4 linked regions of the Astyanax mexicanus genome follow. The main gene of each other region encodes a partner of the protein of the gene in region 3 in a complex. Links are inferred from orthologs where the notes say so. Each region holds a gene or a part of one and is shown on either strand. Other genes may lie near its edges. The genes, in order: sirt2, exportin-5, ran and ipo13b.

What was found.
Region 1: the proteins of ran (region 3) and sirt2 are in contact, whole or in part, in a crystal structure (PDB 5FYQ), measured with the Homo sapiens proteins. The link is inferred for Astyanax mexicanus from reciprocal best matches to the Homo sapiens genes RAN and SIRT2. Residues at the interface, in NP_006316.1 of Homo sapiens: Phe35, Glu36, Lys37, Lys38, Tyr39, Val40; in NP_036369.2 of Homo sapiens: Phe96, Arg97, Glu116, Phe119, Gln167, Ile169, His187, Ile232, Val233, Phe234, Phe235, Gly236, Glu237, Ser238, Leu239, Phe244, Gln265, Val266, Gln267, Pro268.
Region 2: ran (region 3) and exportin-5 share a complex: the UniProt entries of both Homo sapiens proteins name them as parts of the nuclear export receptor complex. The link is inferred for Astyanax mexicanus from reciprocal best matches to the Homo sapiens genes RAN and XPO5.
Region 4: the proteins of ran (region 3) and ipo13b are in contact, whole or in part, in a crystal structure (PDB 3ZJY), measured with the Homo sapiens proteins. The link is inferred for Astyanax mexicanus from reciprocal best matches to the Homo sapiens genes RAN and IPO13. Residues at the interface, in NP_006316.1 of Homo sapiens: Lys37, Lys38, Tyr39, Leu43, Gly44, Val45, Val47, Pro49, Trp64, Gly74, Leu75, Arg76, Asp77, Gly78, Tyr79, Ile81, Gln82, Asn103, Arg106, Asp107, Arg110, Val111, Tyr147, Trp163, Arg166; in NP_055467.3 of Homo sapiens: Leu33, Tyr34, Tyr35, Ile39, Lys42, Gln46, Leu49, Met50, Gln53, Glu73, Tyr76, Phe77, Ser80, His83, Ile84, Ile118, Thr121, Arg122, Val125, Val172, Glu175, Glu176, Thr179, Ser414, Asp415, Arg784, Asp785, Pro787, Asp788, Pro829.

Annotation. Positions count from the first base shown.
Region 1 is NC_064411.1:44,563,986-44,571,208, forward strand, and holds the start of sirt2 (NAD-dependent protein deacetylase sirtuin-2), read right to left. Parts: upstream 3,004-7,223; 5' UTR 2,849-3,003; coding exon 2,833-2,848; intron 2,632-2,832; coding exon 2,585-2,631; intron 1,396-2,584; coding exon 1,344-1,395; intron 1,250-1,343; coding exon 1,139-1,249; intron 568-1,138; coding exon 526-567; intron 372-525; coding exon 265-371; intron 170-264; coding exon 113-169; intron 1-112. UniProt on the Homo sapiens protein: NAD-dependent protein deacetylase, which deacetylates internal lysines on histone and alpha-tubulin as well as many other proteins such as key transcription factors.
Region 2 is NC_064432.1:27,056,975-27,063,984, reverse strand, and holds the start of exportin-5, read right to left. Parts: upstream 3,008-7,010; 5' UTR 2,752-3,007; coding exon 2,650-2,751; intron 918-2,649; coding exon 796-917; intron 668-795; coding exon 595-667; intron 503-594; coding exon 365-502; intron 1-364. UniProt on the Homo sapiens protein: Mediates the nuclear export of proteins bearing a double-stranded RNA binding domain (dsRBD) and double-stranded RNAs (cargos). XPO5 in the nucleus binds cooperatively to the RNA and to the GTPase Ran in its active GTP-bound form.
Region 3 is NC_064417.1:22,957,995-22,965,201, forward strand, and holds the start of ran (GTP-binding nuclear protein Ran), read right to left. Parts: upstream 3,021-7,207; 5' UTR 2,897-3,020; intron 1,134-2,896; 5' UTR 1,094-1,133; coding exon 1,061-1,093; intron 630-1,060; coding exon 545-629; intron 158-544; coding exon 32-157; intron 1-31. Other genes in the region: ndufs8b (NADH:ubiquinone oxidoreductase core subunit S8b), read right to left, coding at 4,051-4,182, 4,336-4,464, 4,961-5,133. UniProt on the Homo sapiens protein: GTPase involved in nucleocytoplasmic transport, participating both to the import and the export from the nucleus of proteins and RNAs. Switches between a cytoplasmic GDP- and a nuclear GTP-bound state by nucleotide exchange and GTP hydrolysis.
Region 4 is NC_064408.1:63,507,959-63,515,561, reverse strand, and holds the start of ipo13b (importin-13), read right to left. Parts: upstream 3,013-7,603; 5' UTR 2,431-3,012; coding exon 2,359-2,430; intron 1-2,358. Other genes in the region: uncharacterized protein LOC103033886, read left to right, coding at 6,639-6,711. UniProt on the Homo sapiens protein: Functions in nuclear protein import as nuclear transport receptor. Serves as receptor for nuclear localization signals (NLS) in cargo substrates.

The sequences.
Region 1 (7,223 bases), on a different chromosome or scaffold from region 3:
ACCACTTTATGATCATTTTACATTGTACCATCCCATAACTTTTAGCATGTCAGGATATGCATACATTCTTTATTCAAATCTGCCCCCCATGGTGTTTCCCATTTAATCATACCTTGAACTGTCCTGGGTACAGCTCCCGGGCCAAAGCAAAGAAAGGCTCCGGGTGTTTCTAGTGGAGAGAGGAGGGTAAAACAAGAAACTTAAGTCAGTTCAAACCCAGTTAATTTAAGCACATTACATTTGGCTTCACTATTAAAGGCAGACCTTGAAATAGTCAATCTGAAAGATAGCCTCAGGATATGGCAGGTTGTACTTCTGCAGGTTGGCATAGAGGCCGGTTCCAGGGGAGCGGAAGTCAGGGATGCCAGCAGCTGCATGTGAGAGAGGTAGCTAATGTTAAAGCTGTGAATACGTATTATTAACTAAGTAGTTAGAAGCAAGTTTGGTTGTTTGCACGTTTGGTAATCAGCTGTTTCAGCTGTCTATTAATATAACAATATAGAGACATGATATTAGTGTACTCACACGTCGAAATTCCTGCACCCACCATACAGATAATGTTCTTACCTAAAGGCAAATTAACACAAAGAGGATTTGAATGTTTGATTAAACTAGTATATTAAAAATATAAAAATTATTATTATTATTATTATTATTATTATTATTATATACACACTGCAATGCAATAACTTGTTTCTTAACTGAGGTTTATCTTCACAGATTGGAGTCCATCTGTTGCTTCACATCTAATCAATTTATTATATCTTATTATATCTTTTCAACCAATAAAAAAACTGAATGAAATAGCTAATATAATTACAAAGTTACATTCATAAATGCCATTTAAAACATTGCTGTGCAAAATATAAGCTTTAAATTAACCAAGTGGCATCAACTCTGAGGCTTCTGGTACACAGTGAAAACGTGTACTGTGGTCAGACAAATTAGTATTCCAGTATTCTATTTTTATTTGTGAAAGAAATAGATGACTGTTATCAGCAACAAGTCCAAAAGCCTGTGTCCACCAGTCTGCATTGCTTTGCATATATTTATTACAAATTAGCAATCATTTTCATGTAATAGAAGTCAGAAAGCATAAATTGTAAAGACAAGCAAAAAACTCAAGTCTAATACTTACATTTTCCACTCTGGATATATCGAGCCACTCCCTCAAGGCTCAAGTCATCAAGGACTTTTTCTTCAGGACTCAGGCCAAGAGTTCGAGAGAAGAGATTGCGGAGAAAATCCACTAAAACAAGGGAAGAAAACACAAGTTTAATTCAAAAGCTGTAGAACGAAGATTGTAAATTACTATCCACAAGATTTGCAAGACAGACACCTACTTTCACTGTCTCCAGAGGCTTCTCCTTCGTCACTGCTATCGTCAGACTCAGCCTAGATTAAAGAATTGACGAAAACAGATCGATCAACTAGCCAGTAACTAATCAATAGGGATACAGCATAAATACCTGGGGACTGTTGATATACTAACTACAAGGGTAATTGGAAACCCATTCATTAGAATGGAAATCAAATATACGTTCAATAGCTTCACCAGTATACTGTACAGTGACTAGACAGTTGTGTCAGGAAATAGTGTACATTATACACTGTAGAATAATATTAAAGACATGAAAGCAATTAAAGGACATATATTGAATTATGTAGTATACAAAAAAGCTTTTGCCCTCCACAACCCCTTGACCTAAACCTAATTAAAAAATCTTATTAAACCTATGGTGATTTGGGATGAGCTGGAGCTTCACAGTGTGAAGGAAAAGCAGCATCTATTGTTTAGCATCTCAAAGAAGTCCTTCAAGATGCTGAGAAAACTATTCCAGGTGACTGTCCCTCATGAAGACACTGAGGTTAAGATACCAAGAGTGTGCAGATGTGTCCTCAAAGCTAAATGAAGCCACTTATAAGAAAAATAAAATAATTCCATGTGTTCCTCTACAACTATACATTTACAACATTTGGACTCCTGTTAGTGTATCACAGCATACTCACCCAGACCGGCAATTGAACCCCAGTCTCCCACATGAAGTGGTAACTTAGCTCATAATCAGGTGGTGGTGGTATCTACTGCACCACACCAACCACGGTGTAAGGCTTTAAACCAAGCTGAACTGCTTGAATTTTTGCACCAGGAGTGGCATAAAGTTATCAAACGCAGTGTGTAAGACTGGTGGAGGAGAACATGCCAAGATGCATGAAAACTTTGATTAACTGAGGTCTGAAAGTTCTGCATATTTTTTGTTATTTCATCCATTTCTAATTTTCTGCAAATAAATGCTCTAAATGACAACATATTTAATTGAAATTTTGGAAAAATGTTGTCTGCAGTTTATAGAATAAAACAACAATGTTTATTTTACTCCAACATATACCTATAAATAGCAAAATCAGAGAGATTCAGAAACTGAAATGGTCTGATTTTTTTTTACAGAGTTGTATATATAAAGAGAGAGAGAGAGAGATAATGTCATCGACATTTACAAAAGAGAATTAATCCAGGAAAGGAGACCGAATGGACTGGCTACCTTCCTAGCTGAGCTAGGTGGTCATGAGCTACGTTTATTACCTCAAAATCTGGTGTGTCAGGCTCCTCTTCTTCTCTTTTAGTTTGGTCTATAAGAGAAAATATACAGTATTAGCAGAAAATCTGTCCTCGCTGCTGCTTATCAGGCTAATAATCAGAATAGCTCAGCTAACTGTGACCTGCATTACAGGAGCAGGGCTAACTGGCTAATAACGCTTTTTAAAACAAAACAAAAAACACGTCAACAAAACAACTATTAAACCTAGTTATCAGGTTATATAAGGCATTACCTCCAGACTCAGACATTTATCCGTCTTCGCTAACCTAACTAACCGCCTCAGCTTTAACCTACACTCTTTATTAAATCGTTTAAACTCTTTCTCACTTCTGCTGGTTTAAAGGGATTTGTTATTGTGCATCGAGATTCTCCGCCCGGGTGAAAACTGGAGCAGAGCTATGCTAATGTTCCACACAAGAACTGACCGCACTCAAACACCACAGACAACATGAGCAGGATCTATAGATGGTTATAAAGCTTAACAATATTTCCTACAAACACTGTATATCAATACATTTTAAATATTAGCTCTGAATAAACACATTATTACAGATTTAGAGACTTATTAATCTTCAGTTTGCAATACTTTTTGTACATTTGATACAGTTTCCTTCAAGGGGGTGGCTTATTTTAAATAATAATACTAATAAAATAATTAATTATTATTTCATATTGTGTCCATAATAATTCCCGCTCCAAAAATTTAAAATATTCGGCACCAAAAAATGATCATACAAATGACATCATGTTTAAAAAAAATCTGTGACCACAGCTTATTTAGGAGTGGGAATGAGATCCTAATGTGTGGTAATAAGATAATTATAATTAATAAGATCAATTAAATTAAAAGAGAAGTAAAAAGTTGGGAAGTAAAAAGTGAAAAAAATTTGGCACCAAAAAATTATCTTACGGATGAAGGTGACATCACGGCTTATTAAGGAGTGGGAATGAGATCCTAAGGCATAGCCACGACTTATTAAGGCATGGGAAAGAAATAGTTAAGTTGTAGCCAGCAGAAAATAAAAAAGCTTGCATTTCTGTAAATTAATGCCCATGAAGAAGACTGAATATATTACATCAAAGCTCCAATCCAAAGATATCCAGAAAATGCAGAGTGAATTGGTTTCTTTTTATTTTCCACCTTAAAATGAATTATGGTGATTTTTTGAGTCTCTTGCAGTGAGACATGGCATACTTTTTAGTAAAATACACTTGATTCTCATACTAAAAGCTCACAGGCTTAGACATAGACAGTATGCAGACCCATTTACTATCAAATTAAACCATTGGAGTATTAAAAAACACCTCCTTTATTAATCTTAAAAAGTTTTAAATGTTACTGTAGGCATTTGGAATAATGGGATGGAGGAATTAGTTGTTTATTATTGTTACACCACTGCTACATCTTATAAAGCCACTAACAGTTTAACTACATATAAAGTGAATAAGTTAGGATATCAACAGCATGAAAAATGAAATACTGGCCTGCAAATCACTGTACCTCTCTCATGCTTCCCTCATCTCCCACCGCATGGTCTCCTCAATGCAGAATCCAGCTCTCACACACCCACACTCTATAATAAGGATTATAGGATTTACTTCTCTTCCACAATTAGATCTGACACATGCATATATGTTGCACACAGTAACAAAACAGTCACTCTTATTTTTGTGCAATCTTTTTTTGCAATTCAATTCAGAGAAAAGGCAAAGTCACATAAAACTCATTTTTATGTCTCAATGAACAATTTTATTTACAAGTGTGCGGTAATAAATTAGATTAGTGTGGTTCGTGCAGAAACAAGTGTGTCCTATGGTGATACAGGTGCTGTATGGCCCAAACACTGCCTCTAAACCCATACATCACCCAGTTTAGTGCCCCTTTAAACTGAGCTAAGGGCATTGCCATGTGGATCAGCCAGACATGACTCTTTCTGTACCAGTTTTCTCCAGTTTCCAAGAGTTTTTTGAATGTGTAGGAAACAGTACTTACCTCTATCTGGCTTCATCTGAAATTTCCAATAAGTAAATACTTATACTTTTAATAGTTGCAAGTTCTCTATGATTCTGTCTTTTTTTTTATAAATATAAAAGTGTAAATGTGCTGTATGTTGTGTAAATGCTGCAGCCAAATGGTGAAATGTAAAAGGTTGTTGTTTGGTCATTTATTGGCCCCCAAATGTCCCTCTAGTGTGAAAATTAAGGATTGAATCTTTTTCCAGACAATTTATTATTCACCTAATATGATTTTGCCTTTTAAAAGCCCAATTTATGCAATGCCTGTTTAGTTGGAAAGCGTGGAAAAATAAAAATAAACCAAATATTATTCAATTAATATTAAAAAAAGACCTCTATTTGTCTATGCTGGTTCAAATGAACAGGAACGAACCAATCGAACCAATAATTTATAACAGCATTACAGTCATATGTACATCTTGAATAAATACACATTCATTAACTACAAGATGTCACAATGTACATATAAACATAACAGAGACACAAAAAACAATGATACATCAAGAAAAAAAAAGAAAAATATAACAATAATTTACTTTGCATCCCCCTATAACATGGGCCAATCCATGTGGCCCACACTGGGCATGCTCCAACTTATCCTGAGACTATAAAAGCCAGCTGGTAATATCATGACTTGTTTGCTGCTCCTGAAGTTGAAATCTGGGTAAGTATGGATGATGATTCTTTTTCAGACTAAGAAACCTTTGAGTGTAAAGAGAATACATTAATATATTGAGGTGACTGATCAAGCTAGCAATTAATTGAGCTTAATAGAGGTACGTTAGCACCTGGTTTAGCCTAGCATTCAAAAAATAAAAGGAAAATTAAAAAATGCAGACATTGACATTGTCTTGACTCTGCTGATAAGAGCTGCCAGTGCTTTAACTCAGCATGTTTCCTTAATATGATTATTAATCCTGATCATGTTGTATTACTACAGAAAATATAATCCTTAATGTTACTTTGATGTTTTTTTTTATTTGTTTTTTTAACTTATTTGTTTGACATTAAGTAGTAAAATCCTACTAAATAGATCAACTTTCTCCTTTTCAGGTGAATCTTCTAATGCTGTCTGTGCTGCAGCTGTTCCAGTCCCCATACTCTTGCTCGTGATTGCAGTGAACTGCATGAAGATACCTGAAGCTGTTCGTCTGTTGTCTTGTGGTCTGTTTGGTTTTGTTGCTCAATTCCTGTTTTGTGGTTTAGAGTGATTTATGAAAGCAAGTAATAAACTGTTTTGTAAGTGTTCTGTGTCTTGTATAACTTTCTTTCCTGTAAATTTAAATGTTTTAGTAAGGATTGTTTTGTTTGAGAAATCTGGTGTGAAACTAAATTGAGCTAATTGAACATTAGGCCCTTTTTTTCTACAAATGCTAAGAGGTACACAAAGGTAATGAAGGACAGTTAATTTAGCAAGTTAATGATTCCTAAACTTTAAAATGATACAGAAATGGTGTAGTAGTAAAATTAAGTTACTTCAAAAGAGAAGTGCTTGTTAACTTATCATAGCAGTACTAATGACCAGCTAGAAATGGTTTGCTCAACATGGCTAATGTTTTAAAGTAGCAATTCCTCAAAACAGTGGTTTAGTCACAAACAATAGCAAACACCTGCTGGGAAAATGCTTTAATTTACTGAAATGAATTGATTGGCAGTCCTGGAGCGCAACACACTGCAAAAACTAAATCTTAGCAAGTGAAATTTTCTAAATTTAAGGCAATAAATCTTATTTCTTCTCTGATAAAACTTTTGGTCTTACTAAGCATTGTAAGTGTTAGATTATTTTGCTTATCTTAGGGATAATTATCTTTAATCATTTTAGAATTTGTACTTTAAGTAATTTGAACTCAAAATAAGCACAATCAAGCAGCAATAGTGTGTTTTTTTGTTTTTTTTTTGGCTTGAGCTTAGGTGTCATTTCACTCATTCTGATACTTTGCCATTGCTTTTTGTAAGAAATCTTACAAAGAATATTTTGCTTACCCCACTGGCAGATATTTTTTGATTAATATACATATGTCTTAATTTGCATATATATGTCTAGTTTTTGCCAATGGATTTTTGGCAGTGCAGAAAAAAAGGGCCATGTGCATTCTTGCAGCTGGTGTGAAAATATACTATTAAGTACTGTTCAATTGTAACAGAATAGACCTAAAGGAAAATTTGAATTTTTGGTTAAAAGAAAATGTAAAAGTTTCAATGCACTCCAATAGAGTTTAGGCCACAATACTTTTAACACCTACAGAAGGGCAGGGCATTTGGGGGCTCATAGCACAATTCCAATAACAGTGTTTTACTTGCCTGTATTGGCAGTCACAATTTAAGTGGGTTTTCAGTTGCATTTAATTCATTCTTAGTCATGGTCCGGTGGCCCTAGGCAACTGATTGGTTTGCTTGTCTTGTTGCAACGTGCCAATGTGTAGGGGAAAACCTTTCTACAATTGCTTCTGCGAGATTCTGCCTTTCTAAAATGCTCTTTTTATACCCAGTCATGAGTTAGTTGCACGCTGCTCTCATTGTTTAGTATCACTTTACATCCTTTTGTTGGCCCTCTCCCACTTTGGAAGTAAAGCTCTAAATTAGTTTAGAGTAAATTATACAATTTTC
Region 2 (7,010 bases), on a different chromosome or scaffold from region 3:
AACCCTATTGAAAATCTTTAGAGGAGCCCAAAAAGAAATTTTGGCGCAGCGTGAGGGACAGTTTGTCTGTTCAAATTATGTAGTAAACTAAAAATAGACAAAAATGGAGTGTTTTTCATAGGACAGCGATGATATATATATTATATAGGTTTTGAGAGAGGGGCTTTAAAGACTTAAATTAAATTTTCAGACAGTAGTAGGTAGATTTCTATTGCAGGGATTGTTAGCAGTTTTTCTAAGGCCTTCAAAGTATTTATATTGATATCAAAATTATAACATATCGACCGAAATTAAGGAATATATTACAATATAAATTTTGGCCATATCGTCCAGCGCTAAGGTGACAAAAAGTCCCACCACATACCCCGTATGAAGTGAGCGTTTCCATCTCCGTCAGCATATCAGGCCACTGCTGAGGCCACTCCCTCTTTATCATCTCCCCCACGATCCGCGAGAGAGCGTCTTTAATATGACTCTCCTCCTCCAGGATGGGGTAGGTTCCCTGAAATCAACACAAAAAACACAAAAATCAGTGAGAAATCTCTACAAATCAGCTTCTCTGAGCAGATCAAACCATCCTCCTCCTCTACTCACGCATGACAGCAGCTCCATGGAGCAGTTCTTCAGATGGACCTTGTCCTGTTGAGGCATGTTGTTCCACTGGAACCTGTGTGAAGCAGACAGACGCTGTGTAAGAGCTAATATAAATAAAACTTTAAATAAACAATCAGAGCTCTGAGGAGGAGGATCTACAGTATCTGCAGGGGTTCGGGGGGAGCTGGAGGGAGAACTCACTTTATCACGTGTTCCAGCGTCTGCAGACCGAAGTGTCTCACCACCGGCGTCTGGGATTTATCAGCCAGCTGAAGAGCACACGGCACACAGAACGGACACTTCTCCTTAAAATCCTCACAGAACTGAGAACAAAAAGAGAGACAATGAGCCGTTAGCCTGTTAGCATTACAGTGATCATGCATCTTTAATAAGCTCCGCCTTCTCGTTCACCACACCTGTTCTATACGCACCTGTCTCCAGGTGCAGCAACTGGACAACTAGGTGATATAGGCAATAAGATTTCGGCTCTTGCTCATAATTATTCATACATGCAAATATATCACCTCTGATTGGCTAACAGCACTGCAACAGAAGGCAGCAAGACGAATAACAGAAATGTTTTAAAACAGACATTTTTACAACATGTGTAATAATACCCTGCTAAGTGCAGTTCACCCCCTGATCTAGTCTTAGAGTCTCTGTAAAACACCAAATCCACCGGAGATCCTATTTAAACCCTATAGTTACACACAGAGGTGGGTAGTCCAGGTCTAGAAAGTAAAAATCCACACCGGGGTGAATTTTTGCTTTTAACGAGTGTAAACAGAACTGTTCTAAACATCTAAACACCTACCTATCTCAATTGTACTTGGCTGGTGGTGTTTTATCTCCATAGACTAATTCTAAAAACATTTAATTCTAAAACATTTGTTTCTTAGCTCTGAATTACTGGGTAAAGTATATAAACACTTTTGCGTTATTCGCACAAAGAGTTTTATGTGCAGCATCAGCAGCTAAATCTTGATTTTACAATCTTATTAATTTACTCAAATTTGCTATGAACATTTTGAGAATTTTCTCAAATTTAGTTCACCAATTTGATGTTTACTCAACTCAGATTTGTTCTCAAAATTAAATATATTAGTTCAGATTCCCTACACAAATCAATGCATTATTTAATTTATTACTTTACACGAAATGTATTTCAATTAGCTTTTAAAATAAAAATCATAACACACACACACACACACACACACGTGCAGCTGAAGATGCTAAACACTGCAGGTGTCTAACCCACAGCTATAGCATCCCATTAAACACACAGCTACACACACAGATAATATTTAATAATAATACTAATCATAATCTTATAAACAGGTGTTTATATAACATTATAACAGAACCACACACTGGACCAGAACCAGATAAACTGCAGAACCTGTGCACTGTAAGGATTGCTAACCAGCTAGCTGCAGAACATCATCAGAACTTAGCAAGCTAACAAGCTAAGCACATAACCAACTAAAATATATATAATAAATAATATTAAAATCACACATAGATAACCTAGATAAACTGAAATAAATGAGTTTTAAATCAGCAAAACTCTCAATTTCCATTAATAAAGATTAGCACAGTGAGCTAGCTGGAGTGCGTCACGCTGAGTTGTGCTACCCGTCGATATGTGCTCCCTACGTCTCTGCGCATGCGCTGGTTCGTTTTTTTCAACATCTTTTAACGTGTTTTAAACGTGTTTTTCTTAATATTTCTGGTTAATTACTATATATATGTCTGAATTAAACCTAAGTCTGAGCTTTAGGAAGTTGTTGGACACGTGTGAATGAAAGTAATAATTATTAATAAAATAACAAAAATAAGCGGCTAAAAAACACTAATCACTTCACTTACATTACATTCAGTTAACTCATATTTATATTGATAAAAATTGTTCACATATCTTACACATACATTTAAGCATGTTAATTCTAGTTATCCAGACTTTTTTTTTTGAAGCTTAAGCAATAAAATAAATACAACGGTAGCAGGATTTGGCAAAGCAGCAAATCTCGGCACAGCACCGAGTTCACCGGGTACCTTCAGGGCCTCCTGGCGATACTGGTGCGAGGAGTCCGGGTCCATCATCACGTTCACAGCCTTAATAAGCTGTTCACACATCGATTTAACCGGATCATCCATACTGAGCGGAGAGAAGAGCGCGCGGACGCGGAGAGAACACCCGGGGAACCACCGGAGAAAGCAGGAGAACCAGCACAACACACAACCAGATCCAGATACACCACCACTACTATGCAGCACAGCACGCTACTACACAAGTGCCGTCCTCTGCTCCAGCCCCAATACGCATGCGCAAAGCAATCACGTGTGAACACATCTCTAACCGAAAAGGCTCCCTACTCCCTTATTAGTGTGCACTATATAGAGAGACACTGTTTAGTTCACTAAGTAGAGATAAAAACGGGAGTGAATTCGGGCACTCCCTCATTAGTGTGCACTATATATAGAGACCAGGCCCCCAGCTTTTCCCTTCCAAAACGTGCCACCGGAAGTGTGCTGCTGAGGAATGAGAGGACCATTAGAGCAAAGCTATCCATTCACTTCCATTCATTTCGGGGTGTCTTTGAACCAATAATAAATGTATTTCCAAGCCGTTTTCGATTATGACACGACCCGTGTTCTTTTCTACAAAGAACGGATTTTCTGCAATTTGATCCATAAGATTAATAATCTGTTCATGGCTTTAGAAAATAAAATTTTTATACAACTATGCTAACGATGACGTAAAAAGACAGCGACCCAAAATACCGTGCTGTAATGTTTGGAGAAGTTGCTCCTCTTAATTTAAAAGTACAGAGCTGATTGAATTAGAGCAGGGTCAAAGTAACCTCTTATTATGCAAATATAATACTACTACTATCAGTTATAATACATTGTAGATAGTAAGATAGTAGTAAATAGAAATAAGATAGACTATGAGAATTATAATGTATAGATATAACTGTAATTTATATTACACATTTATTATTCTTATTACTGAGTTTCTAAATGCTTGTTATATAGACAAACTATGAATATTCTTCAGTAAATCCGTGGACTAATATTGGATATCAGTAATTCTAGTTTTTATCTGCTGTTCATTTAATAAAAGCCCCATTCTAGGACGGAATTGAGCTTTTCTCACTGTGGAGTTAATAGTTCTGTGCAGCTCCTATAAACAGTACGGTTGTTTGCACGGCACGCGGAAGATTCGCGTCATGCTGGCGCCTGCGCAATCTCTCACTTTCCCGGTTAACGCCCCACGAGACGCCGATCAGGAAGTGACACGATTGGCCTCACCTGGCTCCGTTGAAATCAGCGGGATGGCTTGGTCCAGTTAATATATACTGTCAATGATAGAGACACTGTTTAGTTCACTAAGTAGAGATAAAAACAGGAGTGAATTCGGACACTCCCTCATTAGTGTGCACTATATAGAGAGATACTGTTTAGTTCACTAAATAGCGGTAAAAACAGGAGTGAATTCGGACACTCCCTCATTAGTGTGCACTATATAGAGAGACACTGTTTAGTTCGCTAAGTAGCGGTAAAAACAGGAGTGAATTCGGACACTCCCTCATTAGTGTGCACTATATAGTGAGACACTGTTTAGTTCACTAAGTAGCAGTAAAAACAGGAGTGAATTTAGACACTCCCTCATTAGTGTGCACTATATAGAGAGACACTGTTTAGTTCGCTAAGTAGCGGTAAAAACAGGAGTGAATTCGGACACGCCCTCATTAGTGTGCACTATATAGTGAGACACTGTTTAGTTCACTAAGTAGCGGTAAAAACAGGAGTGAATTTAGACACTCCCTCAGGAGTGTGACCTACATAGGGACACTGTGTTAAGGAGAGTCTAAAAGCTAAATAGTCTAAAGCTGCGAGAATGCGCCGTTGTAGCGCAGAAAACGGGATCAAGAGTCTAAAGCGGCGAGAGTGTTCAGTTGTAGCGGAAATAACGAGACCAAGAGTCTAAAGCGGCGAGATTGTTCAGTTGTAGCGGAAATGACGAGACAAAGAGCATAAAGCGGCGAGATTGTTCAGTTGTAGCGGAAATAACTAGACAAAGAGTCTAAAGCGACGAGATTGTTCAGTTGTAGCGGAAATAACGAGACCAAGAGTCTAAAGCGGCGAGATTGTTCAGTTGTAGCGGAAATGACGAGACAAAGAGTCTAAAGCGGCGAGATTGTTCAGTTGTAGCGGAAATAACTAGACAAAGAGTCTAAAGCGGGGAGATTGTTCAGTTGTAGCGGAAATAACTAGACAAAGAGTCTAAAGTGACGAGATTGTTCAGTTGGAGCGGAAATAACGAGACCAAGAGTCTAAAGCGGCGAGATTGTTCAGTTGTAGCGGAAATAACTAGACAAAGAGTCTAAAGCGGGGAGATTGTTCAGTTGTAGCGGAAATAACTAGACAAAGAGTCTAAAGCGGCGAGATTGTTCAGTTGTAGCGGAAATAACTAGACAAAGAGTCTAAAGCGGCGAGATTGTTCAGTTGTAGCGGAAATAACTAGACAAAGAGTCTAAAGCGGCGAGATTGTTCAGTTGTAGCGGAAATGACGAGACAAAGAGCCTAAAGCGGCGAGATTGTTCAGTTGTAGCGGAAATAACTAGACAAAGAGTCTAAAGCGGCGAGATTGTTCAGTTGTAGCGGAAATGACGAGACAAAGAGTCTAAAAGCGGCGAGATTGTTCAGTTGTAGCGGAAATGACGAGACAAAGAGTCTAAAAGCGGCGAGATTGTTCAGTTGTAGCGGAAATAACGAGACCAAGAGAGGATATTGCTTTTTAATTATTGCCATTTAACCCTATACATCCTGATGCATTATGGGAGTTTATAGTGCCTTAAAATCACGTAGAGTTGATTAATGAAATTTAAGTAAATACAGTGATCTACGGGAGTAGATTAATGTAATTTGAGTAAACACGGTAATGTTATTAAAATTACTCATTATTTATTATTAAAAAGTACTAATTTATTAATGTACTCCATTTAAAATAATTAATTTGTACTATTGTACGTACATTTACTCGCATAGCATACTAATTCTACTATTTTTACTCAATATTTAATTACAAATGTAATGAGATGCTCATTTATTTACAAACAATCTATCAGACTCAGACTATTTTACTTATTGTAAATAAATGTATTTAAGTCGACTCAGTATACAGCTTAATTAAATATAGTCTCATAGATTTACTAATTTTCTCAAATTAAATTCACTTCTTAACTTAGATTAAATGAACTGAGATTAAATATATTTATTTACTCAGATATACTCTCTCAGTCTGTGTTAAACAGTTTCTTCTAACTATAATAAATTAATAAATGCGATTTGAGACAGAGCTGTTATATACTAAATATTTACTAAACTAAAATACCCAGAAACACAAATACAGACTTAATCTGATACAGTTCTCAGAGTTCATCAGTTACGAAGAACTGTGTGTATCTGTGTGTGTGTACGTGTAGTGTGTACAGTGTGTGTGTGTGTGTATAGTGTGTGTGTGTGTGTGTATAGTGTGTGTGTGTATGTGTAGTGTGTATAGTGTGTGTGTGTGTGTATAGTGTGTGTGTGTGTATAGTGTGTGTGTGTGTGTGGCTCGCGGGGTGGAGCTGAAATTCCAGCTCGAGCTCCCCCTCCCGCTCCACGTCACTCAGGAACGGGCTGGTCCTGCTGATGGAAAGTTTGATTCACTTTTCACGAACCGATTCAGTTTCGGTGAATCACATGTCTGATTCAGTGCGCAGGACAAAGTACATCAACTGTTGTTTTACTTTTAATTATTAAAACATTGTAAGAATTGAGTGTTTTAAGTTTTTTTGGCCAAAAACTAGAAACGTTTGAATTAAAATATTTTTTATATGTTTTAATATTCAAATATTGGTGGGCTGTCGTTTGTTTTTATAAAAATATCAAACATGCTTATTATTATTAATAGGAACTATACAGTTCTATACAGAACATGTTCGTGAATTTCTTTACACAAAATAAGTCTCACATAAAGATAAAGATCACACCAGCTCTTTTCTTACCAGTTTAAGTCGTGGCCACTTATTATCATCTTGTTCCCACACTTTATTAAGCAAATGTCAAAGGTGTGAAGAGTACTGATAATCATGCTGCTGGATTTTATATATCGATATATGTTAAAACATCATTATAAAATATTTTGCCAGTAGAATATACAAGTTTACAATATATTCTAAGAATGTATTTAATGTACTGTTATAATAAGAAATTATATTTATTTAAGAGTAAAGACAGAGATGATCCGAAACAAAGAAGTTCGATTCAGTTGGCTCTTATGAATTTGCTGCAGTTTAATTTATGGTGATCCTTATATAAAGTAGCCGAGCATTTACAGTTTAAAAGGAATTGTAAACATTATGAAA
Region 3 (7,207 bases):
GATTAACAACAATGGCAAGCAAGAGATATACCTTGAATGTAGTAGCCATCTCTGAGACCACCAAACTTCTCCTGTCCAGCTGTGTCCCATACATTGTATTTGATTGCCCCTCTGTTAGTGTGGAAGACCAAAGGGTGTACTTCAACCCCCAAAGTGGCTGAATGGAAAAAGCAGATAAAAAAAAAAAAAAAAGGTGTCATTACAAACAGATGTAAATAAGTGCACAGACCCGCAGGGTAATGAAAACAATACTTAATTATATACACAGAAGTATTTACACAAAAGATTTTTTTAATTAAAAGACATGCTTAAAACTTGATTTACTGTTTTAACTGACTGCACAATGTTTACCTACCCTGCAAAGCCTGACATACTTAAAGCTCCCCAGCACAAACCTCCCTCTATGTGTAATGGGGCGATTGAGTCACACTCAGGCCACAGTGCTCAAATGAGCACTTCTGAGTTTGAGCACATTCGCTGGAATATAGTAAAGTTCTAAAACAGGCCTGTATACAATTTTTTACAAGTCCAAAGCCAAACTTACCAACATATTTCTTTTCAAACTCTCCTGTCAAATGCCTCTTTACGAAGGTGGTCTTTCCCGTACCTCCATCTCCTACAAGAACCAGCTGTGGGTTGGAAAAACAGTTAACAACTACAAAAATATTAAAATGTGTCTTAAAAGACACACTGCTATACTGTACTGCAATAATTGCTCTGAGTGCTCTGGCTAACAAGCAATATTAAGACAAGCTTTGCCATTTATGATGGTATGAATGTATACAGGAGGGTCTTTTTAGACAACCAGAGACAATTTATCTGTCAGTAACTTACTGTGATAAACGTTAGATATTTAATTCAGACATCATAAGCTCATTTCTTGCTTCAGAACAAATAATATGGCTATGGCTATTCGCCTCTCAACTTTTATAAGTTAATAAAAATGGGGGCATGGCCCTTTAAGCTGACTTCATAAGTTTGTTCAGTAGAGTTGAGGTTTTTTTTTTAAACAATGTTTCCTAAAAGGTCACCAGTGTAGTTTATTAGATGAAATACTCACCTTAAACTGAACCTGTGGGTCGTTTTCTGCCATTGTTGGATGTGTGTGTGTGGGTCTCTGACGCAGCGCGACTCTGCGGGAGAGATGGCGGGAGGGTTAATACAGGCAGACAAAAGGCCGGAGAACAATCCCCCTCCCCACACGCGGTGTCGGGCAAACCCAGTGAAGCTGCGGGACGGGCCTGAGCGGCCTGAGCAGCCCGGCATCAATCAACCAACCACCAGAACGTCTGATAAAGGCGCCAAGCAAGAGCGCAGTAAATGCTAATGAGCTAGCTTAGCTACACGTACAGCACGCTGGGGCCGCGTTCACTACGCCTCACATATTACATCTATGGCTAATATGAATGGTAGCTCTGCTATAAGCGAGTCTGAACCGGTTCCGACCACCGGGTTCGAGTTCAGTCCGGATGGGAGCTCTCAGAGCCGGTTCTGCTGGTTGGTTGAGCGTCATGTCGCACAGCTGCCGCGCTTTTCTAGTTCTCACCAGAAGCAAATCCATCCAGTTAGCTTAGCCAACGCTAGCCTGCTCTCTTTCCGCTGGCTAATGCTAACCGGCTAACTGTTCGCTACCAATACTGATGGGTAATCCAAGTCCAGAAAGTAAAAATCCACCCAAGGATATTTTGTTTCAAAACACCCGGGTACTTTCTATAAAACTATTTACAGGCAACTAAATATAAAAATGTTTTAGCTGCCACGAAATATATTTTGAGAGCTCAAATGTAACACTGTTAGCTAGCTACTGGGGCCTCAAATTAGCCACGTTACTAGCTAGTAGTCAATAAGTAAGTTTGTAGTGAACAGGAAATACTATATGCAATAGCTATATGACAAGCTATTGGTCAAATTGAGTTGTAGCCACAACAGTAAAATTTAAAAGGAGGTCATTAGGTAATATAGTGGCCACATTTAGTCTGCAGAAGACCACAAAAGCAAATTTATTTAATTCAACAAAAATATATAGGCCACACATTAAGTTAGCTGAATTGCAGGGACTTCTTTTAAACGGTGTATTAAAATCTTACAGGGAACAAAAATTTGTTTCAAAGGCCAAAACATAGCTTAGCTACGGTAGTTAGGTTAACATACTGAGCCCACAAATTAGGTGTTAAGTTTAAAGTTCTCCTAAAATGATTGATCACAAATAAGGTTTTGGTTAGTTTACATGAAGCCATATGATAATCGATTATGGCCAAAAAAAGGTTTGAGGCAATAAAATACTACATGGATGACATATTGAGTACATTAGTCACAAGTGAAAAATACACACGCAAATGTAAACAAGTGAAAATGATTTAAAAGCTATCTAGAACGCACAGAACAATATATCAAGGTAACTAGCGTGGCTTATATCTAGTTAACGCAAGCTGAGCCGATGAGCTGCAGTACAGCGATACAGGCGGTCGGATTAAAATCCTGGGATGGACTTCTACTCGCTGGATGAGGACTGTCCTCCTTTAGAGCTACCGGACAACAAAACAAAAAAGAGCGCCGGATCTCAGAAAGACCAGACCCCTCCAATCCAGTCCTCCACCTTACATATACCCTACAGCACAGGACTAACACCCAAAATTACGGATTTATAATAAAATCAGGGAACGCAATAACGTAATCGCATCCGCGCTAGCATTAAGCGCTAACCTGCCTAGCCACACGATGCTACCGCGTTAAACCGAGCCGAGCCCGCCGCTCTAAAGGCCTGATCTAACCCGCGGATCCGCTGAATCGGTGCCGCAGCGGGGCGCGGGAGGCTGAGCGATGTGTTGCGGTGTAAACGCGGGGTGTGTGTGAGCGCTAAGGGCTGATTCTGGTTCCCAGCGCGCGCAGTTCCTACCTGGACGCTCGTGCTCCGCTCTGCCGCGCAGTGAGAAAAGAGCAAATGGCACCGAGCGCGCGACTCTCAGCGCGGCCGCATTAACGCTTCCGCCCCAAGCACGTGACCAGGCAAACCCGCGCGCAGTAACGCGCCCCCGCCTGGCCGCTTTCTGCAACAGCAGCAACCCTAAACTTTCCCATGGAGCAGGTACAGAGTGCAGGGTGGGGTTTGTCTTGCCTTTAGACCAAAGAACATTGCATGAACGTTGTTTCTTAGGTTGTATTACATCTTTTAAGGTTGTTGCATGAGCGCCCATTAAATCTGAGGGAGGCGTTCCCCTTGCACATTGCATAATTATTCGTTTGGAACCACTCCACATTTAACATAAACTATTATATAGCTTTTTGAATGTATTTATATTCGGTTATTTAGATACAGTTTTGTAGAACATTCTAAAAAAAAGTATACAGTAATTTATGTACACCCCATTCTTATTATTATTTAAATATCCATTTTACACTGCACGAACAGAGTACAAGCTATAAGAATACAATACAAACAATATGTACATTATTTACTGCAAGTTAATCCTAGCAACACATATAAAACCATAAAATCACAAACTGCTGGATCAGCTGAGATGGCATCAAAATACTATACTTACAGACACTTCAGACTAACAGACTAAAACTACAGACTAAAACTAACATTAAGGACATGAGAAAGAACTGTTCGGGTACTACAATAACTTACAATAACGATATACATTACTAATTACCAATTCTTTCTCTAGTTTTATTAGTAATATGAATGCTACTGATAAAAATGTCCACATTATCTATGCCTTTCACTCAAAAAACACACACAGGCACACAAAATATTTTTTAAAGTTTTATTTCTGAAAGTAAATCTATTATAAAATACAATAATTACACTTCATTCATTGTGTACTTGTGTACATTTGTGCGTGATTATTAAGTTCCTGAGAATGCGATTAGTGATGTTTCAGTTCATTACCTTGGAAGTTTGAACCATACAATGAATTCTCCTACACTGGGTGCACTGAGTGCTTCTTAGTATACACTGCAATTATGGCTGTAATAAAGAGCAGACAACAGATGTATTTTCTTAATTCTGATGGTTTGCATGTATTGCTTCCTGTTCAGGGCTGTTTATCTGTACAGGTAGTCAGCCTGGATGTTGGCAGCGATCTCAGCCTCCCAGCGATCTCCATTATTCAGCAGCTTTTCCTTATTATAAAGCAGCTCCTCATGTGTCTCAGTGGAGAACTCAAAATTAGGACCCTGAGAGAAAGGGGGAAAGAGAGAAGCGAGGTGAAGAAAACAGTAAAAGTGAAAATGGAGCATCTCTGTGTGTGTGTGTGTGTGTGTGTGTGTGTGTGTGTGTGTGTGTGTGTGTGTGTGTGTGTGTGTGTGTGTGTGTGTGCATGCGCGCACCTCCACAATTGCATCTACAGGGCATGCCTCCTGGCAGAATCCACAGTAGATGCATTTTGTCATGTCAATATCATAGCGAGTGGTTCTTCTGCTGCCATCAGCACGGGTCTCTGCTTCTATTGTGATAGCCTGCAACACACACAAACACACACTTTACTGTTTAGGTCCCAACTCTTATCTGTGTTTTTATTTCTTACCAATTTATTTACATTACATTTTGCACACATAAACACTAACATGCCATAATTTTTGCCATATCCCAAGGTATCAAAAAACGCAGCACTTGTGCATTGAATATGATGTGATTTCTGCCAGAGTCACTTGTCTGTTTGCCAGATGCTGCCGGTCACAATCATTACCAGCTATTGCACAGTCCGCTGTGGGTGTTAATGCCCTCTATGATGTATTCTCAGTGCACACATGACTGTGCAATTAAGAAATGTTAAATGCCCACACAACTTCAGAAAGGGAATGTCCCATCCATTTGCACCCACTCTTAGGCCTCACTCCATCTCATATACTGTAGTTGTATGTGTATGTGTAATACTGCACTGTAATAATGCTGTGTGTATGTGTGTGTGTGTGTGTGTGTGTGTGTGTGTGTGTGTGTGTGTGTGTGGTATACCTGTGCTGGGCAGATGGCCTCACACAGTTTGCACGCGATACAGCGCTCCTCTCCGTTTGGGTACCTGCGCAGCGCGTGTTCTCCACGGAATCGAGGGGACAAGGGTCCTTTCTCAAAGGGGTAGTTAATGGTGGCTGGCTCTCGGAACAGGTAACTCATAGTCATGCCCAGTCCTACACACATATAAACACTTACAAATGCTTTTATAAAATCTCTACTTCATAATATATTCAGTCCTTCTTGGCCACTGAACTGGTGTCAGTGAAGGTGATCTAAAATGCCTGATGCACTAAATCCAACACAGGTCACACAAAAATTACTCACTACAGTAAGAAACATTGTTAAATGGTTAAGTAATGTTTCAGCAATATTAGCCTTCTAGCTGTTGTTTGGCATTGGGTATATTGACCTTAGGCTCATGTGTGGCTGGTGTCAAACATCCCATTTAAATTATGTTCTGGCACATACAGTTGTGGTCAAAAGTTTACATACACTTGTAAAAAAACATAATGTTATGGCTGTCTTGAGTTTTCAATAAGTTCTACAACTCTTATTTTTCTGTGATAGAGTGATCGGAACACATACATGTTTGTCACAAAAAACAGTCATAAAATTTGGTTCTTTCATAAATTTATTATGGGTCTGCTGAAAATGTCCCCAAATCTGCTGGGTCAAAAATATACATACAGCAACAAAATTTGTCAATTTTGGTGATGTAGCGAGTTGTGTCAATCAAATTAGCTTCATGTCATGGCCTCTTCACTTCTTGTAAGTGATTCTGATTGACTACAGCTGTTGACTTCTCATGAGCCCATTTAAATAGGGCTCATTTGACCCAGTGATTAGACTCAGCTACAAAAGCTACAATGGGAAAGTCAAAGGAACTCAGTGTGGATCTGAAAAAGCGAATTATTGACTTGAACAAGTCAGGGAAGTCACTTGGAGCCATTTCAAAGCAGCTACAGGTCCCAAGAGCAACTGTGCAGACAATTATACGCAAGTATAAAGTGCATGGAACAGTTGTGTCACTGCCACGATCAGGAAGAAAACGCAAGCTATCACATGCTGCCGAGAGGAGATTGGTCAGGATGGTCAAGAGTCAACCAAGAATCACCAAGAAGCAGGTCTGAAAGGATTTGGAAGCTGATGGAACACAGGTGTCAGTCTCCACAGTCAAGCGTGTTTTACATCGCCATGGACTGAGAGGCTGCCGTGCAAGAAAGAAGCCCTTGCTCCAGAAAAGGCACCTTAAGACTCGGCTGAAGTTTGCTGCTGATCACATGGACAAAGATAAAACCTTCTGGAGGAAAGTTCTCTGGTCAGACGAAACAAAAATTGAGCTGTTTGGCCACAACACCCAGCAATATGTTTGGAGGAGAAAAGGTGAGGCCTTTAATCCCAGGAACACCATGCCTACTGTCAAGCATGGTGGTGGTAGTATTATGCTCTGGGGATGTTTTGCTGCCAGTGGAACTGGTTCTTTGCAGAAAGTAAATGGGATAATGAAGAAGGAGGATTACCTCCAAATTCTGCAGGAAAACTTAAAACCATCAGCCAGAAGGTTGGGTCTTGGGCGCAGTTGGGTGTTCCAACAAGACAATGACCCAAAACACACATCAAAAGTGGTAAAGGAATGGCTAAACCAGGCTAGAATTAAGGTTTTAGAATGGCCTTCCCAAAGTCCTGACTTAAACCCCATTGAGAACATGTGGACAGTGCTAAAGAAACGGGTTCATGCAAGAAAACCATCACATTTAGCTGAACTGCACCAATTCTGTCAAGAAGAGTGGTCAAACATTCGACCTGAAGCTTGCCAGGAGCTTGTGGATGGCTACCAAAAGCGCCTAGTTGCCGTGAAAATGGCCAAGGGACATGTAACCAAATACTAATGTTGCTGTATGTATATTTTTGACCCAGCAGATTTGGTGACATTTTCAGCAGACCCATAATAAATTTATGAAAGAACCAAATTTTATGACTGTTTTTTGTGACAAACATGTATGTGTTCCGATCACTCTATCACAGAAAAATAAGAGTTGTAGAACTTATTGAAAACTCAAGACAGCCATAACATTATGTTTTTTTACAAGTGTATGTAAACTTTTGACCACAACTGTATGATCTCCACTCCAATGGTACTGGACAAAGCTCCATTACTCCTGAGAACACAGTTCCACTGCTCTACAGCCTAATATTGGAGGTCGTCATCTTCATCTTTGCTAGGCATAGGGAAGGGTGACCTTTGGA
Region 4 (7,603 bases), on a different chromosome or scaffold from region 3:
ATTTTTTTCCTATTTCTTTCACCCCTAGTTTGCTCATATATGATCCTGTGGATGACTTTTAAGGTGGTCCTTTGACTCTTTTGTTTGGTTGTGGGTGGTATATGATCTAAAATGTTTAAGAGCCAATGTTTTCCACTCTACCTCTCTTAAATTCTCTCAGAGTCTGAGAATTTGAAATACTATTCAATCATGCCAAACTTTCTCAAGACAGTTCACAAGTGAGGAGGTCTAAACCACACACAGCCTGTGAGCAAAATAAAATCACAAATTATAATCTGCTATTTACAAAAAAACTCAGACACATGTCTGCATAATTAGAGCGACTGAGCTACAGCTCATCCCTGGCTGTCATACTGTGACAAGTAACCATAGATTAAAAATTCTGTCAATCATGTCTTTGAATGTGGGTGTTTCAGTGCATTGTAATACAAGACAAAACAAAGCACTTAAATATGGACTGCACTTAACAGTAAGAGTCCAGTAAATTATGTGTTTTAACAGACAGTGGCACATGGAGAGCACAGTGTACTGTGTAAGGAAAGCTTCTCTCCTGTCATGGTACATTATGTTCTGGACACTCTGACAACAGCATCTGGTTCTGAAACACGGTATTACTAGTGTGGTTGAACCATGTATATACAATGGCATAGAAAACTACCTGACTGGAATTAAAATCTTTTAATAGCACCAGCAGATATTAATCAACGATTAATGACTAGATATTAATCAGATACATTTGCTTCTGCCTAGCCCAGATGGTGGCATAAAATTAATGGTTGGTGACTCAGTCAAGCAACACTGGCTGCATGAGAAAACTGAAACTGAGTTCTCAGCTATGTAATATACAGGAATTTAATTTAGAAAATAAATATGTTAGTCAGCTCTATGATGTAACTTAAGGTGTAAACTTTAGATCGTACAGGGCAAATTAAAAAATTGTCTAAACTGCGGACCTTACTGCACAGTCTCCAATGACCAAGTCTTAATAATGTTTCTGTTCTTTCTCAGTCTCCATAGCTGCCATAAATCTAGCTTTCTCTTGATCTCATCAACTGACTGTAGTTAGAACACAGCAACCACATCTGGCACTCATAACCCTCATACAGGTTAGCAAAGCATGTCGATACACAAAGAAATACTAAGTCAACTAGCTGACCAACACTTTGGCTTCCTTTGTGAATATTACTGTTACAACCTCAAATATTCCTATAATAATGCATCATTGAAATCAAACATCAAAAATGTTTTTGCCATAACATCCACCCTTTTACACACCGTTTACACAACATGACTAATCTATCTATAAACTATATGAGCAGTATTACTACTCTGCTCATCTGAACACGTTGGTCCACGAACGGTCCTGACAGAACTGGACAACCAATCTGGTTGGTACCAGGCTGGTAGACAAGCTAATCAGCTTTAATAGTTATAACACTCCAATGAAAACACAACCTATAACCTAGAGCTAAACTGGTCAACCGGCTGGACCAGCTTGAGTTGGCTGCTGTTATTGTTCTTAGCTGGAAATAATAAATGGTTTATAATGTAGTAGTTCACTGTAACAAGGGGGTTTAAGCATATTGAACTTCTCCTAGTAATAACAGATAGCTAGCTAAGCTAACTAACTAGTTAGCTACTATACTCAAATTCAGGTTTGAGATTTAATAACTGAGTAAACTCGTCTGATTCGTGTCTACCTAGTTATACAGCTCTGGAAAAAATAAGAGCCCACTTCAGTTTCTGAATCAGTTTCTCTGATTTTGCTATTTATAGGTAATTGTTTGAGTAAAATGAACATTGAAGTTTTATTCTATAAACTACTGACAACATTTATCTCAAATCCAAAATATAAATATTGTCATTTAGAGCATTTATTTGCAGAAAATGAGAAATGTCTAAAATAACAAAAAAAGATGCAGAGCTTTCAGACCTTAAATGATGCAAAGAAAACAAGTTCATATTCATAAAGTTTTAAGAGTTCAGAAATCAATATTTGGTGGAATAACCCTCATTTTTGATCACAGTTTTCATGCACTTGGCATGTTCTCCTCCTCCAGTCTTACACACTGCTTTTGGATAACTTTATGCCACTCCTAGTGCATAAATTCAAGCAGATCAGCTTGGTTTGATGGTTTGTGATCATCCATCTTCCTCTTGATTATATTGCAGAAGCTTTCAATTAGGTAAAATCACAGAAGCTCAATTTTTAAGTGGTCTCTTATTTTTTCCAGAACTGTATATGCTGGAAAACCAGAGCTATGTTATCTAGCTGAGCTAACTTGTGTGTGTGTTTTAAGCTTCACACAGGAGAACACGGTCTGTTAGAGGCGGTTAGTCGGCTAACCGCTAACCTACCTTCTCCACGTTCTCCACGGTGAAGTCCGCTGTGTCCGCCGGGCTGGCTGCTATCCTCCCCTGCGTGTCCATGCTCTCTGCCGGTCTGACTGTCCGTCAGCGGCCGGGCACACGGGGCGAAGGGGACCGGCGTCCGAGATAATTTCACCACTGTTCACAGCTCTGATTTAACTTGAGTTTAAACCGCCGCTCCTCTCTGTTCACCCTAAAACAAGCCCAGAGAGAGAGCGAGCTGAGCTAACATAACCTAGCTACACCGGAGCCTCCACTAGCGCTAGCGCTGCTTAGCTAAGAAACAACCATGATTTATTCCCTAAACCCCGTCTACACCGCGGCTCTGTGTGAGTCCGGCGTCTACTATTCACATTATAAGACAGTATAGTTTTCTGTAGAGTAGTTAACTAGGTGTAAAACCCTGCCCGTGTCTGTATCTGTCCTCTAACCGGCGAGACGCTCCGGACTAGCTCTCAGTCTCTCTGTGTCTCTCTTTGCTTCCCCGCCCGCTCTCTCCCTCTCTCTCTGCTCACTCTGAACACCGCCTGACCGACTTCACCCTGTCAAACCCGTCAAACACACAGCACAGCTTAAACACACATTATTAACACTACTCCTAAAAAAATCTCCACACTCCATTAGTGAGCGTTAACTAACCCAACACAGAAACAAAGGGCTCCTTAATTTAATATGTGTGCACTAACAATACAACGATACAACGACTACTACTGCTATTCTTGTTTCATTTCTATAACATATAATTCATGTTATATTAAATAATATTTTAATCTTTTACATACATATATCAATACATTAATGTGCTCATACATTTTAAATTATCTTTTAATTTGATGTAGGCAGTGTACATTTTTTTAAAAAGGGGCCTTCGCGCTGCATTCTGGGAAGTGTAGTTTTTTTGTAGAACGTCGCATTTCAAAGACGGGTTCTCGGTTTCTGACGTGCAGTGTAATGGCGTCCCCGTGTGTTTCTGGTGAAAAATTACAAGTCTGTGCTGAGCATCCAAGTGTACATACAGTGGTGCTTGAAAGTCTGTGAACCCCTCAGGACATCATCAGATTTTCACAAATGTACTAAAAGTAGATAAAGCGGAAGTTAAACAAATGAAAAAAATAATAATTATTATATGTCAATTTTAGTGTGGGAAGTTCCATGGCTAAATTGGAGCAGCCTGGTGGCCAATCTTCATTAATGGCAAATTGCAACAGTAAGTTCAAAAGTGGATAAATTGTTGGTGCACATCTTGCTGGTGCATCTGTGACCAAGACAACGAGTCTTTGTGATGTATAAAGAGCCACGGTGTCCAGCATAATGTCAGCAAACCACCAAGAAGGACGGGCCACATCCAACAGGATTAACTGTGGACGCAAGAGGAAGCTGTTTGAAAGGGATGTTCGGGTGCTAACCCAGATTGTATCCAAAAAACATAAAACCACGGCTGCCTAAATCACGGAAGAGTTCAATGTGCACGTCAACTGTCCTGTTTCCACCAGAACTGTCAGTTGGGACAATAAATAATTGTGGTATAAAACCAGGTGTTTCAGTTTTATTGTCCAACCCCTGTACTTGCTCATTAATTTATTAAGGAAACAGATCAAATATAACATTTTTATAATTAGCAAAAGTATGTGAACCTTTAGGATAAGCGGTTAGTTTAAACATGAAATTAGGTGCTCCCAATCAATGGGAGGACAATCGGGTGTGAATGTAAATGGACTACTATAAGAAGAACACTAAACAACTTTTTGGAAGAATTTTTTTTTGGACAGATGAGACCAAAACATAACTTTCTGATTTAAGTTAAATGCATTATGTTTGGAGAAAGGAAAACACTGCATTCCAGCATAAAAATCGCATCCCTCCTGTAAAACATGGTGGTAAGTGTATTATGGTTTGGGCTCGTTTTTGCTGCATGTGGGCCAGGATGGCCTGCCTTCATTGATGGAATAATAAATCCTAAGCACTAGACCCTAAGCACTAAGAGCCGATCTACTAAAGAATGGTTCCAGAAAATAAAGTATTTTAATTCAACCAAAATGTTGTGGAAAAACTTGAAGCGAGAAATTCATGTGAGAAAACCCACCAACATCTCAGAGTTGAAACTTTTCTTTACAGAGGAATGGGCTAAATTCCTCCTAGGTGGTGTGCAGGACTGATCAACAAGTACTAAAAACCTTTAGCCTATTACATTAGCAAATGACATTAAATAAACATTGAATTATTGATGACAGAGGTCAACAAGGTCAGAGAAATAGGCAGACTGGGTGAGCTGATAGAAAGGCAACAAGCTTTCTCGAAAATCCATCTTAAGACCAGCTTCTGCACACAACTGTTTTGGATGGGCTGCATCTTTGATGGTCAAAGTGGTTGACAAGTTGGCTATGCATTCAAAAACCTACTTTATGCTGGTACTATGTGCTTCACATATGTTGCAGCATAATGTTGCATTTGTTTTGGGTCATGCTTGTTCATGCTGGTCATGCTGGTTCAGCATCATGGTCTCACTGATCTTAAAAAAACATCTCTGAATGCACAACACTTTGAACACAGAGACGGATGACAACAGAACATCATTACAAAACACCACTACAGCTCCTATTTTTGTTAGCCAAGAACAGAAAGCTGAGGCTGCGGTGTGCAAGTAACCTTTGAAATCAGTGTTATCACATACTTCATACTGTTTGATTCTGATGGGACTACATGAAGACACTTGCTAAGCAAACCAGCCATTAATAATATTAATTTCACTTAATGTTTCTTATATTGTCTCTCTATTCCTAAAATAATTTTAGGAAATCAAAATGTATATTTTACACAGAACAAGTGTACCATGAACAATTTAAAATGTTTGCAAATGTAGATCAACCAGGTTTACATCAGATGATAAGTTAATCTAAATTTGTCCACCCCTGTCCTGTAGTGATTAAGCTGGGAAAATATGTGTAGTCTTAAAAACATTCAAGTCATGATTTTTTTTATTCATGTTCAAGGCACAGTATTCTGACAATGACCCATACACATCCCATAGTGCATCTCAAGAACTGCTGCTAGAAAATGAAATCCTCATCTCCATAAACGTTGTCAGAGATTTTCCAGGAAAACACTGCACTGATGTTGGTCCTAACACAGTGGACCAACACCAGCAGATGACATGGCTCTCAACCATCACTGACCATCAGTAAATTTACCATTTCATTTGTAAATCATGTGAACAGAGTCTGGAGGAAAAGTGGAGAGACACACAGTCCAAGCTGCTTGAGGTCTTATGTGAAGTTTTCACAGTCAGTGATGGTTTGGAGAGTCATGTCATCTGCTGATGTTGGTCTGTGTGATAACTGTGTTCTATCAAGTCTAAAGTCAGTGCAGTGTTTTCCTGAAAAATCTTACAGCACTATGTTTCCCTCTGCTGACAACTTTTATGGAGATGCAGGTTTCATTTTCCAGCAGGACTTGGCACACTGCCCACACTGCCAAACGTATCAATTGATCTTATATAATAAGAACATTTTCTGAGAAACTGTTTTTGAGTTATAATCATAAACAATAAAAGAAATAAACGCTTAAAATAGATCACTCTATACATCTGTATAATATTTGAGTTTCACATTTTAAACTGAATTACAGAAATAAAGTAACTTTTTTAATGATGTTCTAATGTTTTGAGATGCACTAGTATATGTTATAACAACCAAATAACACAAAACAGAGCCTGACGTTGCTGTGTGTGTGGGGGGGGGGGGGGGGGGAGGGGGGTCTGAGGGCGTGTCCTGCTTCAGTCCGCTCTTGGCTCGCCCCCGGAGCTCCGGTGCTGTACAGTGGGATACTGGGTGAGGTGAGAGGAGAGAGGGGAGCTCTGCTGGGAGGTCTGAGATGTTCTCCGCTCCGTATGACTGAACCGAGGCCGCTGTGAGTTACCGTGCCCGCGGGTGAGATCCTCTGCGATGGAGACAGCTCGATTTTTGTTTTGAACAGCTGAGCGCCGTAGGACTGAAGGGTGAAACACGTGGCACATGAGCTCAGAGAGAGAGAGAGAGAGAGAGACAGACAGAAAAAGAGTGAGAGAGAGAGAGGCAGAGAACACTAGGTTCAGTCAGAGGAGCGGAGCGCTCTCAACAACTCAACAAACCTCACAGACTGAAGTTCACTCAGTTCACAGCTCAGACACATAGCGCGCGCAGAGTCCGGGTCACTCCAGACTGATTTAGTTCAGCTGTTTTAATTCTTATTTCACCAAAAGAAGGAATAAACAGAGCGAGAGAGAGAGAAAGATGAAGGGTCCAGTGAGCGCTGCTGCTCTGTCCGTTCTGGTGCTCTGCTGCTGCTGCTGCTCTCTCGCCAGAGGTAAGAGTTCACCACATTTCTCTAGTTTTATTCCACTGGAGTGAAATATTTAGTTTTTTTATAGTGCGACTGACTTTATGCCAAATAGACTTTTAAGAGATTTAAAATAATTAAAACTAATTTTAAAACGATTTTCACACGTTAAAGGAGAACATCGATGTAAAATTGACTTTGGGTGTAGTATAACATATTAAAAATGACTTACCTTTGTTGAATAGCACATCACCGCTTTCCCGCAGCTTTCTGATATACAGTCATTTTCTTTGTTAAAAAACATGCCTCAAATTAAAGGTCAAGGCTCTCCGGATTCTACCAATGAGGTGTGGAGCTACTTTGAGCCTGGATAACTATGTAAAAAGCGATTTATCTGGGCAAAATATGCCCTGATACGACCGTTGTAAAGAGTGCTGGGCAAAAAGCACGAAATTACTGGAGGTGTGCTGTTTAACAAAGGTTAGTACTTTTTACTATGTGTTACTACACTAAAAGTCAATTTTACACCGGAGTTCTCCTTTAAGGTTCTACATTTCTCTCGCTCTTTCATTTTCCTATTTCTTACGTATTATCCTCAATTTTCAGTTCTTCTGTATTTATATAGTTTATATCATTTTCTTATCTCAGTTTTTTTATAACCCCTTTTCTATTTTTCTCCTTTCTTCTTTAAAACTAAAATTTGCTATCTTTCTCTCTCTCTCTCTTTCTTTCTCTCTCTCTCTCTCTCTCTCCTTCATTGTGTGTCTTTCTTTCCTTTATTTACCCCTTCTGTCTTTTTTTTTCTCTTTCTCTGTCTTTTGCTGTTAATTTACTGTTCATTTATTTACATCTTTATTGTTTTTATTTCTCTTTCTCCCTTTTCTCCTCCTTTCTTTCTCTTGGTCTCCTTTCTTTTTCT